Bombyx mori: one gene and its partner. The protein of the gene in region 2 purifies or fractionates together with the protein of the main gene of each other region. This does not show direct contact. Links are inferred from orthologs where the notes say so. Each region holds a gene or a part of one and is shown on either strand. Other genes may lie near its edges. The genes, in order: ER membrane protein complex subunit 4 and Cpr.

What was found.
Region 1: the proteins of Cpr (region 2) and ER membrane protein complex subunit 4 purify together in Homo sapiens (affinity purification with mass spectrometry; 3 studies listed by BioGRID and IntAct, with this or other methods). This does not show direct contact. The link is inferred for Bombyx mori from reciprocal best matches to the Homo sapiens genes POR and EMC4.

The regions. Positions count from the first base shown.
Region 1 is NC_085110.1:12,130,801-12,138,491, reverse strand, and holds ER membrane protein complex subunit 4, read right to left. Parts: upstream 3,065-7,691; 5' UTR 2,889-3,064; coding exon 2,833-2,888; intron 2,759-2,832; coding exon 2,296-2,758; 3' UTR 2,181-2,295; downstream 1-2,180. UniProt on the Homo sapiens protein: Part of the endoplasmic reticulum membrane protein complex (EMC) that enables the energy-independent insertion into endoplasmic reticulum membranes of newly synthesized membrane proteins.
Region 2 is NC_085116.1:8,006,837-8,015,330, reverse strand, and holds the end of Cpr (NADPH cytochrome P450 reductase), read left to right. Parts: coding exon 1-78; intron 79-3,832; coding exon 3,833-3,990; intron 3,991-4,428; coding exon 4,429-4,573; exon of another isoform or gene 4,574-4,574; 3' UTR 4,575-5,750; downstream 5,751-8,494. UniProt on the Homo sapiens protein: This enzyme is required for electron transfer from NADP to cytochrome P450 in microsomes. It can also provide electron transfer to heme oxygenase and cytochrome B5.

The DNA of each region.
Region 1 (7,691 bases), on a different chromosome or scaffold from region 2:
GATTTTTTGTCATTTCCTGGCCTACTAAGTTGTCTATTATTGTCCGCACTAGACAGTCACTCATAATAACAACGTAGGCAACGTTATGCATAGTTTCTACTTCCTTCAAGTAGCAAAATGTTGCATCGTCCGTCAGATTCGTTTTACATGGGCACGGAAATGCCCAACAAGGGCCCAAAAATGTTTCAGTTGACTACAAAGTCAGCAGGCTTTGTTTGTAAAAGTACTTAGAAATTCTTCATTCTCCTCAAATTCCGATGTATTCCAGGATGGATTTGCTTTTGAAGTACTACCTCCATCCATTAATTCGGTTAGTGTTCGGTAATGCGGTTTGAATCCTATCATTGCCTTTTTTAAACCCCTTTTTCATAACCAACTCGTTTGGTTTTTCCCTCGACACCTACGTGTCCACTTACACAAACTAGGTGCGACTCATTGCTTAGATACTTTCTTCTTTATTAAAGAATGAACTTCGGCGTCTTTGCGGAATTTGTTCTATAAGTCTTAGAATTTAGAGTGTTTTATTCTTATGTTTACTACAATCTCCGACATGCATTGGTCGTACATTTCTACTGTAAGGACATCGGTTCTCGTCGGATTAAAAGCTTCCTAAGTGCCAATTTTGCCCAACCTAATGCTTGCATTTTTACTACATACATATAAACTACATACGGTCAACAATAATTTAAAAATTGAAATGTCAATGTCACATACCTTGAAATATGTAAAATTTGACAAATAATACGAAAAATGTCTTGAACAACACCAAAAGATATTTCTTGTATTTTGAAAATATATATAGAATGGGCTTTTTCTTTTCTATCGTTAAAACCTCTGTAAGTTTATTCTACACATTATATAATTAATAATTAACATAATTTAAATACCCGTAAATGTATGAAAATGCTAACGGTATCAGTACTAATTAAGATTATAAAAATTTAAAAGTTTGAGCCTGACCTAATTCATTATGGTTATTGTAAACAAGTGAAAAATTGTGAAAAATGGAGTAACGTCGATCGCCATTGAATGTAATAAATAATATTTTTTAAGAGATTTTATGACCTGGTAACTAAGACCTTTAGGTGATTTCTTATTTTAGTATAAATTCTTATTTTTATGAAAAATGCTCATATGGAGTTAAATAAAATAAAGATGTTTAATTTGAGACATTAATCAACTGGGATGAAATTAAATGAAATGGGATGAAATATAATCTCAGTATAATGGTGGTCATTAACTGAGATTTTTTCAGTGGACTTTTTAGAGGATCCCGAGAAGTTAGGTCCAGCGGCTTTGTTTCGTTTTCCTACATTTGTGCACTCTCACCGATATTAAACAGTTAATAAACCTCCGTTATTAGACATTTAAATCTGAAGAAACACTAAATAGACAAAATAAAATAAATCACACAACTTCACTCCTCGCGTTCCCACCAAAAAAATCCAAGTAATAATAAAATACACAGTTGCATGTAAACATATTTTTGTGTATAAATGTAAATTAAATAGACATGCTTGCTTCCGTGCTGAAACACTAATGACAGATAAAATCAATAAATTTCATTGATAGATCTAGTTCTACTATTGCATAATATAATGTTACCTTCTTAATTGTTTTTCAGATAATATTTGGTGCAGGAGTTTACACCGGTGTCTATGTAGCACAAAATTATCAGGTACAATTATCATTTTTACAGAACACAAAGGAGGCCAGACACATGTATTTGTAGTTGATTGGTCACCTAATAATTGAACATCTCTGTCCATTATAATCCTGGTTCAGTAAATTTATTTATTTAGTAAAATTACATGGCCTCTTTTGTTCTAACACCAATTTATCAGTATAAAATTGTTAAAAATTAACAAGCTGCTTTTAAATTCAGGATGCAGTCCAAGTAATTTGTCAGAAATCTGTACAGAACTGTGACAAGGCTATGGAAAAAAAGAAATGGTTTGTTTTTTTTCTTGTTTATTGAGCCAGGAAATAGTTGTGAGAACCTTGCATTTTATGATATTGTTTCAATTAAATTTGAATTTTCCTTACAGATAGAAAAAGTAGAAGATCCTAAAGCACTGTTTGAAAAGGCACAAGCTTTCGTGAAATCAAAACTTTCTGAAGTACAAGATGGAAAAAAAGATTAAAATTAGGAAAATGGGAACAGGAATTATGAAATAAAATTGTTATTAATTGTTTGTACATATTTATTATTAGTTTTACAATAATAGTATAATAAATACAATTCAAACTGTGAATCTTTTAAACTAACATTTTTCCCTAGTAACTAAATTAAATTCATATAAGTGATAAACCACCTCCAATATGTTCGAGTCTTGTTTGAGGCTCTTCAAATGCCAACCAATCACTTGAGTGAGTTGGTAACAATCCCATACTCTGACACTTATAGAGTGCTAAAAGAATGTTTACTATATTTCCGATACAATAAACAATTTTTTGTCCGATAGCTTGTGTACCTTCAACCATTTTGAAAGTACTTTGTGTAGCAAACAGCGCCTTCACCGGCCTCACTATTAACATGCCAACCATCATTATTGGAAATATAGAGATAGAGTTACCAGCCATGTACATAATAAAAAGATTCATGGGTACTTGTTTCAAAGGGCCCAATGCCACATCCCATAGTTTTTTAATGAGGAGTAAATTTGAGTCCGAATCTTTTGATGATTCGGCATAATTAGCGTTTGAAGACTGACTGTAACCTGGGGGTGAGGGCAGTTCTGTTGAAAGTTGTTTATTCCTGGAAACATTGCAATTTGAAATAAATTTGATAAGTATTTGTGTATTAAACTGTTTAAGAAACGCATTACTTACTTTTGATTAAAATCTAAAGCCCATTTAAGTTTTTTATTTGATTTGAGCTGAGACATTGTTACGATCCACGTGAAAAATAGTAATAATAAATAAAGTAACTTAAGGTTTACTTGAGAAACAGCGGTACAATAATTATATCTATTGAGTACTATTTTATCACTGAAAATCGTAATTCGGAATCTTGAAATATTTATTTTCTACGTGATAATCGTATATGTCACAGACTTTTTTAATTTCATTCGTCCTTTAGACAAGCATGGGAAATAATGCCCAAACAGCCTTATCCAGTATTGTAAAGCCAAAGCTTTCTTTGAAGAGTGTTGAGTGATTGAGATATAAAGAGCGATGTTATGAAAATTGTTTTGACCATACCGCTGTAATTATTCACACATCGATTTATATGATTGTTTATTAATTATTTAATATTTGTGAAAATACATGGAGGAGGTAATTAAATAAATCGGTACAACAGGAAACGCAATCTCATGTATGGAAAATTTTACACAATACAACGCTATTCATTTGCTACAAATTTAATGTCTCATGTTTTGCATTTTTTCTAACTGCAAACCCCAATTTAAATAGTTATTTACACTATAAAACCCATAAAAATAAAATTAATTCATTTATTTCGATATTGAAACTATGATGATCTTTTATTCGCTTTTATCTTTTCCGCTAACTTCCACAACATCGAAAGCTTAACCAAATCGACAGCCTTTTAGTCAAATTACCAACTTAAGCATATTTTTTTCTCCTACCGACGCCGAAAGTTCGGTTTTCGTCCCGCTGTACAGGGAAGAAAGTGTAACTTTTTCTCCCTGGATACAAGTGCGCATGCGCGTTAGTATCTACGTCTGCTCTCACGCACCTGAAATTCTCCGCCATTGTTGTGCTCGGGTAATTTGCAATATTGTGTTAAACAAAGATAAGTTCATCAGACAGTTCTTATTCAATTAGTAGTAGTTTATTTAAAAATTAAAAAGCAGTTAAATGGTTTTTTTTATGAGTATGGGGGGTGTCCGCCCCCCCCCTACCCCCCACCAGGGCTTCGCCCCTGGACCCCACCGGGGCGTCGCCCCCGGACCCCGACTCGGTACTCCACGAACTTTCAGCCTGGTAGGAGAAAAAATAGTATGTGCACCGCGAGACAAAAGTTGGATTCTTTTCTCCCTTGGTGCACAATGTATTATTTTATGCCAAGATATATTAATAGTTTTCTAAAAATAATAAATAAATAATATAATAAACATTTAGAAGTCTACTTGGAAAGAGGCAGAAAGAAGCAACGTTTCTGTCCATGACATATGACCTAGGGTATAATTACCGAGATGGATAAATTTTAAAACCCCTTGATCTAAATGTTAGAATTTAGACCAACATCTGTTTTGTATATCTTTGCCTTTCTAAAGTGTGTGAAATACATAGAGTTACTATCCTAACTGGAGTGCTTACTTCGTTTGACATAAAAACAAAAAATATACTTTATCTCTATGACTTAAAGTTTATTTTTAAATAGCAAAAGATGTAAGGAAAAACGGTCTGAAAAGAGAATGATTATTAAGTGGTGGTGTCCCTCTCGCACATTTTACAAACAAAAAGCAGTGTTGCTAGCTTAGAGGATTTTCCACAAAATCTCGTAATTTGGACCCCTATCTTACTTATAAAAAATGGCATTTAGTGGTTAGTGGATTTTTTAGTAGCTTGGGCGTTGTTGAAAATTATCGAAAAGGTTAAAATCAATCCACTTTACAGGATTTTAAACATTTTATGACAATAATATATCTAAATACATATTATTTAAACGATGTGACTTTGACTTAAACTTAACTAGAAAATGTTGCGAGAATTTAGAATTTCCATCAACGTAAAAAATTGAATTGGTCCAAAATAAACGTACAAAGTTATGGTGAAATTAGTTTCTGATGATGACAATTTATTAAAATAAATTATATGAGAAGTATTGATTATATGATATATATTGATTTTTAATAGAACATCATATATTAATAAAGCTCGTTAACAAAAAAATTATTGTTCTATATTAATAAGAACTCTGTTTAATGGAAAATTTAATGGTAGGTACGTAGATTTCTGATGGTTTTCATGTTGAATTTGGTGGGAAGCCAGATTAATTGTTGGCATCACCGAAAAAGAGCTATGAATGGATTAAAAGAAAAATGGCGTCTATTTACGTTTGTAGTTTGAAGTTAAAAGGGCACTGATACAGCTTGTGGCTTGTTTTTTTTCGAAAATCGTGAAAGTTTCCGTGTAATCATGGTGAACACTTGTATTGTAAGTGGTTATAAGCGAGAATCCTCTCCAGTTTGTGGAATATCCTTCCATATGTCAGATTCATTGATAAATTTTTACTAGTGTGAGCATATATTTTTAAAATGTGAGATATTTTTTCTCATTATAATATTTAATACCATTTGTCTTGTAAATTGTACTTAATCTATGTCATATACTAAATTTGGAAAAACAATCGTGAAAACTATAATTTTGCAATGTATTTTTCATATTATAAGAGCCATCATGTGGTATTTTTTGAACTTTTTTATTGTATTGAATAGCGTTGCACGCAAGCATGTATATCATTTGCCTGACGTTAAGCGAACGAGGAGGATCTTCTAGTAAGTATAACGTTGGAATTTCTGGAAAATGTCCTATATAAAGGTCAAACAAGAGGAATCAAGTACTCAAACGCAAGAAATAAAAAATACCCCGAGAAAAGCAAAATTACGACAAGATGTTAAGGTATTGAAACAAAAACTTAAAAGATTTATTAAAGAAAAATGGCAATTTTTAATTGAATTGAAATTTAAATTGCGAAATTTTAATGATACTCATGGTCCATTTAGATATTAATTAAAATAAATTATGTATTTCGTTGAAAAAAAAGAATTTACTTAAAATAGAGGAAATGTTATATTATAAGACTACAGAAAATTAACTGAACTTAATAATAACAATAATATAACCAATATTTTGTAAATAGAGATCAAGTACTATGTGTATTGTGTTATGTGTATTGACTTGTCATTTAAGAGTTATTTAATTGTCTACATATAACAAATAAATGAATTTTAGTTAATTTCATTTTATTACCCATTGTGTTTTATTTCCTAAAATGCAACTAGTAGACTTAATATACACGTGTCATGAAAATAGCACAGAAGTAAAAATACAAGTAATTTTAAATCAATTGAAGATGTGAATGTAGGAAAAGAGCACCCGATAATGTGTGTTGCAGTGTCTCACTCAGTGTGTCAAATATTAATTTGCACAGCCCACTTAGCCAGTACATTAAAGTAGGAATTGCGTAATTAAGTTCAACATAATATTTAAGTCGCGGTTGAGTATTCGGACGTTAAACATGAATTTGAGGAAGTTTAAGTAATAGAACTGAGGTAATGATGTTTGTAATAAAACTCAGTGCTAGATTTTCGACAACGCAGCAATTTCCAAAAAAAAACGTCGAAAAAAAGTTAAAATGACGACGAAGAAATGTTTAGAATTGAATTTACATAAATAAACTATTGCAAGCACGTGTTTTGTATTTACATAGGGCTACACAGAATTACTTAAGGTAAATTCAAAACTGATGCATGTGTATAATTTTGTCCTATAAATAAATTTTATATGGTCACCACATTAGACAAGGACACCGCGACCAAAAAGTATTCTCTTTCGAGACCGATTTCTCGGCATTAGACAGCACTCCAGTTGTAGGTACTTATTAACTCCATGGTGAAATATAACATCTAAAAAATATTAACGTAAACCATATTGTCCAGGACTTTTTGGCGGGAAGTCAAACCTATTAGGCGGAATTTTTTGAAAGAAAATTTTCACAAATTGTTTTTACCAGGAATTTGTAACCAGGCATATAATCTCACTATTTATAGGTGCGCTTCAACATGAGGGGCAAGCGCAAAAAGCGCAAAGCCGACGATCTACATCAAGATGTGGCAAGTGTCGACGACTCAGATACTTCGACCGATACTGCTGAAACTGATAAGTATACCATTTATAAATCGGAAAATTACTGCCGTCAGTATCCAGAAGATGGCGGTAATTTTGAATATATTGTAATATATGAAAGTTCCGAAACCAGGCCAATAGGCGACAGAGACCTCATGTCCCTTGGCGCTTCATTGAAACGAGGCAACAAGGGCATAAAAAGATTTAAGAGAATAAACAAATACAAAATCGGAGCTATATTCGAGCGGCCAGGGTTAGCTAATAGCGCCCTATATAATACCAAAACATTAAAGGACCTGCACCTAAAAGCATCAATTCCCGCTTTACTCACTGAAACTACTGGTGTAATTCGAAATGTTCCCACTTATATGTCGAACAAAAACATATATAATGGATTATCAAGTTCCAGAGATGTAGTTTCCGTGCGTCGACTTATGCGTCGAGGCCGCGATGAGGACGGCAAATCGTGTTTGCTGCCCACCCAAACAGTTGCCTTAACTTTCGCCTGCCCTACATTACCAGACAGTGTTGATATAGATTCATGGTACTTCGAGGTAAGCCTATACATTCCACCAGTTAGCCAATGCCTGCGTTGTCTACGCTACGGTCATATCGGCAAATTTTGTAAGAATTCGCAAAAATGCACCATCTGCGGTGAAGAACACCTATACAGAGACTGCCCTAAAGATCCCAAGGAAGCCATTTGTGTTCACTGCAGTGGCAATCACATAGCAATTTCTTCAGATTGCCCTATTAAGAAAAAAAAAATTGAAGAAAATAGAACTAAATACCAAAAAGTTGCATACGCCGATTTATTCAATGAGAAGTCTTTTCCAACATTAAACAAGTCTAAACCAACTGATAATATAAAA
Region 2 (8,494 bases):
GCCAGTGGGAAAGAAGTGGGCGAGAACATCCTTTACTTTGGATGCAGACATCGTGATGAGGATTACATCTACCAAGAGGTACTTATAACTTATGTTACATATGCACTTACACGGGTTAGTGGTATACTGTTTTGTACATGTAAAATCCGGACACGAGTAACTGTTACTAAACGCATGTAAAACACCCTTTTGTAAAAACAAATCGCCCGGCACATGTTGTGCGTCGATGTTATTATTAAAAATACATTTGAAGTGTTTGAACAATAACTGCTTAAGGCTTCAATGTAAAGTTTGACGAAGCCAAAATCGTGATAGAAATAAGACTAGAGTAAGACTAAGTATAAATTAATTGGGTGAATCTTGATACGAATGAGGTCGGAGGTGAGGCCAATCTGTTTGTAAACAGAGATGAATATAGACTTCAGTCTATGAATTATTGTGCGGACTCAAGGTAAATAGAAAGAGCAAGAAACTAGGGCATTAGGGGTCAACTGTATTGTGGTATATTAGAAGAGTTTAGTGAATCACTGGACCCGACCGTGTCTTTGTAGTTTTGTTTTTCTACCTAATCGCCTAGTAGCTTTAGGGCACAGATAACGGAAAAGATAGGGTTATCTGTGCTTTAAGGGCTCTTCCAGCTACGCTACAACTGGTAAGTGAGCTCACGGACTCATCATGAGATAATTTGCTAACACTAGCCCTAGCAAGAGCGATGCTTTGCGGAATCTACCACCGAATCGAAATCGTGACCCACTGAGAAGATCCGGCGAGAAACTCAGTGGGCTAATTATGTATCCGCTGCATTATATTACACGCTTAATCTACCAAACCTATAGTGATTTCTATTATTGTAATACCAAAGCCGTAATCGTTGACAGAATTATGTCGTTTTTATGAACGTTATCTTGAAGCAATTTGTCCTTAAACACATTAGGGAACGTACCCATACTACGTGACCAATTTTTTTAGTTTTTTCGACCTCTCCCTCCCCTCGATGATCACTCGTAGTATATGCCAAGACCCCCCCTCTCCCCTTTTAGTTTTCACGTAGTAATTCACAATTATGATTTTTAATCATTTCACAGGCAATTCTATTAATAATAGATGTTCTTCATTTTCAATAGTTTTCTATCTTTAGTTTTTAGATTTTCAATAGTAATAAAATATGTGCTTGCTAAACTAAGGAGACAAGATTGAATAATTCATGCGGAAATAAGTTCCACGAGTTCATTCGAACATGAAACTTTTCGCTATTGTTTCGTGTGAATTAAAATTTATAATGTTTTTCGAATAAATTAATTATAATTATTTTAACATTGGAGTACATTCATTTTATTTCATATTCGCGATTTATTTTTCATTGTATTTTTCTTGACAATTGTAACTAATTAATTTACAGCTTGTCATAATTAATAATGCTCGGATTTTATTATTATTAATCAAAACAAACTGTAGATATGTCAGATATGGTGATACACCATCAGATTCGGATTTTTCCTTTTTTTTAATGTATAGACTAGTGAATGAGCTCACGGCCCACCTGGTGTTAAGTGGTTACCGGATCGATCTCGTGGACATCACATTGTGAATGTTGCTCCCCACCTTTTGAGCCTAGTCACATGAGTTCGAAGTCTAATAATATTAGAATAACTGCGAATACTCGTGTTTTAGTTGGACGGTTAAACAATAACCTTGAATGAAAGACACTTTTGCGACAGACACCGATATTAGACTTTACAGAAAACCAAAGATAAATGGTTCATCCAAATTTTTACTCGGTATAATATTGTGGTATAATATTCATAACACAATATTTTATAATGAATTTTAGATAGATCGTCTTGATGATTTTAACACAGCATTTTTTTTAAATCTAAATAAGGTTAGTGAAGAATATCGTTCAATAGAGTACAGATATTGATTGAATTAATATTCTTTCTCCAGTTTAATCTCGTGTTTATTTTTGTCTTCGTATTATTACGGACGTTTAAAATACTTTTTACAGTTTTCGTGAGCATACACGACTAAGCTTTTATTTGTCATCTGTAGTTTAAGCTAACTACCGTCTAATTTTTAATACAACCAAATAATTTTCACTACAAACACCAAAGAAAATAAATACTTCATCAAATCACACAATCAAATTCATTTGTTTATTGGCCCTTAATAATTTCTTTGAAATTAAGTTATAACGCAATCGATCGAACGATTATATGAATAAGGAAATTTAATAGGAATTTATTTCTGTTTGATCTCCCTTTTGTATAGTTAAATCCAACCTCTGCTTCCTTGAGGGATCACTCACCTCTTAGAAATAATACGTCATTGTTTATCAGCACAAAAACTATTCTTTGTTCTCTTTTTTTTAGCACGATTCCAAAGTCTACTACGTGTTTTTTGCAATAATCAAGACAGGTATAAAAATACATTACAAACAAATAGACACGAGAGGAAAATGAAAAGCAATATTATCGATGCGATCTGAGCGACGCATCGATTTCCTATTTCTGTTATATACAGTCTTTAATTTGTCACATAAAGACTAATAAATATCTCAAAAGCAATAAATAAAGTCCATTCTCATTTACCACACCGCAACATAATATGCAAACTCGTTTTGAAGCATGAAGATTATTTATTTGATTAAAAAAAAATCTGAGTACTTGTCAGATCAAAACATTTTAAATTTTTGAACGGGTTTTTGAAGGGAAAAGGAACGCTCTGTTCCTTTTCAGAAAAACGGAAGTTGGAGCAAAATTTTTATAATGAAATCGAACATTAACTTTATCAGATTACTAGCGACCCGCCCTCGCTTCGCTTCGGAAACTGTAACTTATTATTGATTTCTCCACTATTTACTGGATGTTATTATACATATAAACCTTCCTCTTCAATCACTCTATCTATTAAAAAAACCGCATCAAAATCCGTTGCGCAGTTTTTAAGATTTAAGCATACATAGGGATATAGGGACAGAGAAAGCGACTTTGTTTTATACTATGTAGTGATAGTGCGTTCTCTGTCTAGGATAAAATGAAAACGTGCTTAATTTCTTTGTTTCCTAATTAATTTTAGTTGGTTTTTCGTTGAGCGACTATACTTATGTTAAGCTTAGTCAATAAAAATAATTACTCGGATTGTTTCAATTGAATGAAAAGATTGCGATCGAAACTTTAGATGTAACGATTTTTAACCGTACTATACGCAATTTTCTTATTGGTCTTGACCTTTAAAAAACTTTGAAATTTTGTAGTTAAATATTTAAATATCGCTTAAGTACCAATTTAAGTAAACGGTCTGACCTTGTTCAGTTTCAAACTGTTGTTATAACATTCTCGCGTGTTAAATTATTAATTTTTGAATGATGTTGTTTGTTGTTGCGTCTTTTGTTAAATTGAAGTTGGTACGTTTGTACAGTTGCGGTTGTTATACACCATAACGCCAACTCGTGATAAAAGGTACGCGTCAATAAACGGGTGTCTAAGATAATATATTTATTGACTAGCTGACCCGGCAGACTTCGCAGTGCCTCAATCGATAAATAAAAAACCTAAACTTTTGTATAAAATAAACTTAAAATAAACAAAAGGAATCCGTCGGACGGGGGACACATCAAAGGAAAAACAAAATTGTTATTTTTATTTAATTCCGAGCATTTTCATATTTATCTACCTTTTAAACCTTCTCTGGACTTCCACAAATAATACAAGACCAAAATTAGCCAAATCGGTCCAGCTGTTCTCGAGTTTTAGCGAGACTAACGAACAGCAATTCATTTTTATATATGTAGATGGTAATTTATACTAATACAGTCAAACTAATTATGTTACAGGAACTAGAGGAATACGAAAAGAATGGTGACGTAAAACTGAACTTAGCATTTTCACGCGACCAAGCGAACAAAGTTTACGTTACACATTTACTCGAAAATAATATGGACGAACTATGGGATGTTATCGGAAATAGGAATGGAAATTTCTACATTTGCGGGTAATGTATATTTATTTTATAGGTTGGTAAAATAAAAGAGATATATTGCGTGGCAGAGAGGATAAATAATGTGATGGAATGGCAGTTAACGCATGATACAAGGTGAAGATGATACGCGCGGCTGTTGGTGATTCCATTGCGCAGTCTATTCTATGTATTTAGATTGCCGTGATCGACTGGTTGGCCGCCCCAGCTCTAGTTATATGAATAATATTATGATAGCAGTTTTTAATGTTTTTTTTTATTGCTCTTGAAGGCAGACGAGTATACGGCCCATCTGATGGTCAGTGGTTACCGTCGCCCATGGACTTCAGCAGTGCCAGGGGCAGAGCCAAGCCGCTGCCTATCAAACTCGATTCGACTGAAGGGATCGATAACTCATATGCGCTCTGGTTGTTATTGTAAATGCTAATTTGGAAAATATTATTTATTCTTCAGTGACGCGAAAAACATGGCTGTGGACGTAAGGAACATTGTGTTGAAAGCTATAAAAGAGAAAGGCGGCCGCACAGAGACGGAGGCCGTGCAGTTCCTCAAGAAGTTAGAATCCGTCAAGAAATATTCTTCGGACGTTTGGAGTTAAACTCCTGCACTGAGATCGTTCACTCGAAGAAACTTCCTGTTCTATAAGAATGAAATGCTGGCAAAGTTTATAAAGATAGGCCTTAACGATTGTGATGCGAAACTCGTAAACTAATCTGTACAAGAGAACAGTGAATTTCGGGAAATTTGAACAAACTAAATAATATAATAGAGTAAAATGTTCAGCAACATTTAAATCTGATAAACAGGTAGTTCAAATATGTTAATGTACCTTAAATCAGTAAATAACAAAAGCATTAGAAAGTCATGAAATAAAATGTTCTAACAACATGTACGTATGGTACATGAGTGTAGTAAATTAATTATTATATACGGGCTTGCTGGTTGTGAGACCGGGAAAATGAATGGTTTGGATGGATTTTTTTTTAATTATTATTGGCATTGTTGTCAACTGTAGTGTTTACATGACAATTCGACTAATTCAGATCTACGTAGTTCTTGCAAAATATTATGTTGTTGTTCAAATAACAGCTTCAATAAATTTGTAATTTGGTATAATTATAGAAAGGACAAAAACCGCATAGTGAGACAAATTGCAAATTAAATCTCATTTAATCATTATTTAATTCGTATAGCTAGCGTAAGATTTACTTTCAATATATTTATTAATGTGATGATATAGTTATGAATGGATAAGTAGCTCATTTTTATTGGCCAAATAATAACTATTATATTATTTTAATACGGAATGAAGACATCATTAAATCTTAAAAATGCTGGGCCCGCTCTAGGCTAAAAAATAGGTTTGAAAATGTACATTAATGATTCCAAATTGACCTAATAATACAATTTAAAAATATAGTTTGTACAATTTTCAATCTGTAAATAATTGCCTATTAACAAATCCAGTGAATAATATCTATTCAAAATTATTGGGTGTATCAGATTTTAAACGTAAAACGTAAATTGACTTTTATACTGTTGTTAATGTTAATTGTTATTTTAAATACGTTTTTATATTTATACATACAGGGTCTGGTCGATAAATAAACTATTGAAATAATAATATAATAATATATGGTACATTTAATATCAAGAAGGCTGTCGTAAAAATACTACATAAAATGTTACATTTTTATTTGTGTAAGTGGACATGGGACATAAGTATACGTACTTTTATAACAATTACGAATTTATAATAAAAATTGATAAACCCTAATTGTGTCTTTATTTGCAACGTATTCAAGTTTTTTTTATTCCAAGGCTAAAATGGCCAAATTCCAGTCATAATTTGTTTCACTTAATAGCGTTAACAATTGACAACATACGAGAGCATTGAGTGGGATTCTTTACTCTTGAGATACCTACCCACCCACCCAGCGTAGGCGCAGGCTGATGAGACACTATATGTCACCCAGGTGCTTACCTACCTACCTAGTGCTAAAATAATAGTAATCTAACTTATTTTTATTACACACAATATAGGACTGTCTGTAAGCCATCAGTGTTAAGAGGTAACCGGAACTGATAAAATAAAAATGTGTTTTTTTATTCAAATAAGGTACAAAGTACGATTTAAAAGTGCATGTGAATCTGAAGAAATCTTCATAACTTCACGTCACATTTGGAACGCAATTGCAACATATCGGCTGCCCCAACTTTCAATCGGAACACATTAGCAGTAGGCAGGGAATGGCTATACCTCTGGCATTTCTAAAATCAATGCGCGACTATGACTACTTATCTTTACTTATTTGCTTACAATACTGATAAATTGCACGTTCCATCATATCTTTCAAATGCCTTAACATATTTAATTGTTTGAGATATTGTTAGAATCTTTACATCATCCCGAGTGATACATAAATTTTGAGGTCGTCGTGGCCTAAAGGATAAGACGGCCGGTGCATTAAGGTCGTCGTGGCTTAAGGGATAAGACGTCCGGTGCATTCGTGTCTAGCGATGCACCGGTATTCGAATCCTGCAGGCGGATACCAATGAAGGAATAACATCGTGTAATAAAAATCAAATCCGCAAAATTATAATTTTCGTAATTACTGGTGGTGGGAGGTCTTGAGTCCGCACGGGTAGGTACCACCACCCTGCCTATTTGTGCCGTGAAGCAGTAGGTAATGCGTTTCGGTCTGAAGGGTGGGGCAGCCGTTGTAACTATACCGAGACCTTAGAATTTATGTCTCAAGGTGGGTAGCGTATTTACGTTGTAGATGTCTACGGGTTCTAGTAACCACTTAACACCAGGTGGGCTGTGAGCTCGTCCAGCCATTTAAACAATAAAAAAACAAAAAAACAAAATGTACTTATTTTTGGTAGGGGGCCCGCTAGAGCAATCTTCATTTCCTAAAAATTTCATCGATGTCGGTGCAGCCGTTTCAGTCTTTTGGGCACATATTTTTAGGACGTCATCATAGTAGCTGACAAGACGTTCCGCTTGCAGTAGATACTGTTAGAGAACGGATATGGAATAAGAATATTTTTTTAGGATGGAGGGATTGTTGATGGCTCTGACGACTTCCAATTCAATTCGAAGCCAGCATATTTTTCTGCAGCTCTTCTAAGCGTCATTTTTCCGGAATTTGTCATTTTATCTTGTTACCTGATATTAAGTGTCGTACCTATACAGACCACATTTTGATTTTATGATGTTGGTGTTGACAGACGGAATTAACATCCAAACACGGGTCCTTGTTATATATAGTAAATTGAAGTTTTAGGCTTTATTGTTGCGAGTTCACGGTCTCCCTGGTTTTAAATGGATATGAAGATCCATAGAGATATCGGGCGGTATTCCCAGAGCCATTCTATTTCGATTATTTCATTCTTGAGCAGGAACGTAATTGCCTCGATTCATAAATATACATGGTTAAACGAACCCATGTCTTAGGACAGCATTTAAAAAAAAAAAAAAGGACAGCCTTTACAGTTTTATCGAAATAGATAAGAGAGCACGGCTCGACCAGGAAGGGTGGAAATTACTAACTTCGAGGCATTTGTTATCGAATGTTTTTTCTAAGGAATAAAACCACAAGAATGGAATTTTATGAATAAAATTTCCATACATTTTTAAAACGATAATTTATTGATTTAACCGCAAATATATTAGTTTATGTACAAGTTAGGGACGTCAACAAAATGCAAACAGACAGCCTGTATTGTATCCATACATCAACTTGAGAGTCGATTAAAATTTAATACAGTTCGGCTGACTTATTTATACTATGATAATCAAACAGCTAAAAACTGCACACTTCAAAATTATGGAAGTTTTTTTAATACTAAATTTACCAGATAAGCCAAGTACACTACACATAACGCAATACAAGCGAATCAATAAAACAAACTAACTCTCAACACATTAAATACTGCAATAAACCGTAAAGAACATTCAAGTATCAAATTTTCCTATGACTACTCAATTTCTACTATGTACATGAATTTATACTAATTTCTAACACGAATTCAGGATTTTATTAACGCTCATTATAAAATCGTTATGAACATTCGTATGCCAAAAGATACTTGTAGCGTAATTAAAAAGTGCCATCTTAAAGAAAACAAATTATAAGACATCGACTGATGTTGAGTTTGATATTTTAAATTTGGTTCAACATTACAAAAAAGGTCAACCGTTAGGCATGTTTAAAATTGTCAAATTAAGTACATACTGTGTACATTTTACATGAGTGCAAAAAAATGTCTGATTAAAACAAATTCGATGTAACGGCTTCATTCATACAATTACATCAACGAGCACGCAATTAAGTTTATAACAATTTACACATACTTTAAAAATTGTAACAACTGTACATAACTATACAATTTCAGTCTTTACTCATTATAAACAATTACTTGAAAATTTTTTCAGTTAACCCTTTTAGACTTTTCCAGAAGATTATTATAGAAAGTTAAAAGTAACATAATTGTGACAAAACAATAAAAGCTC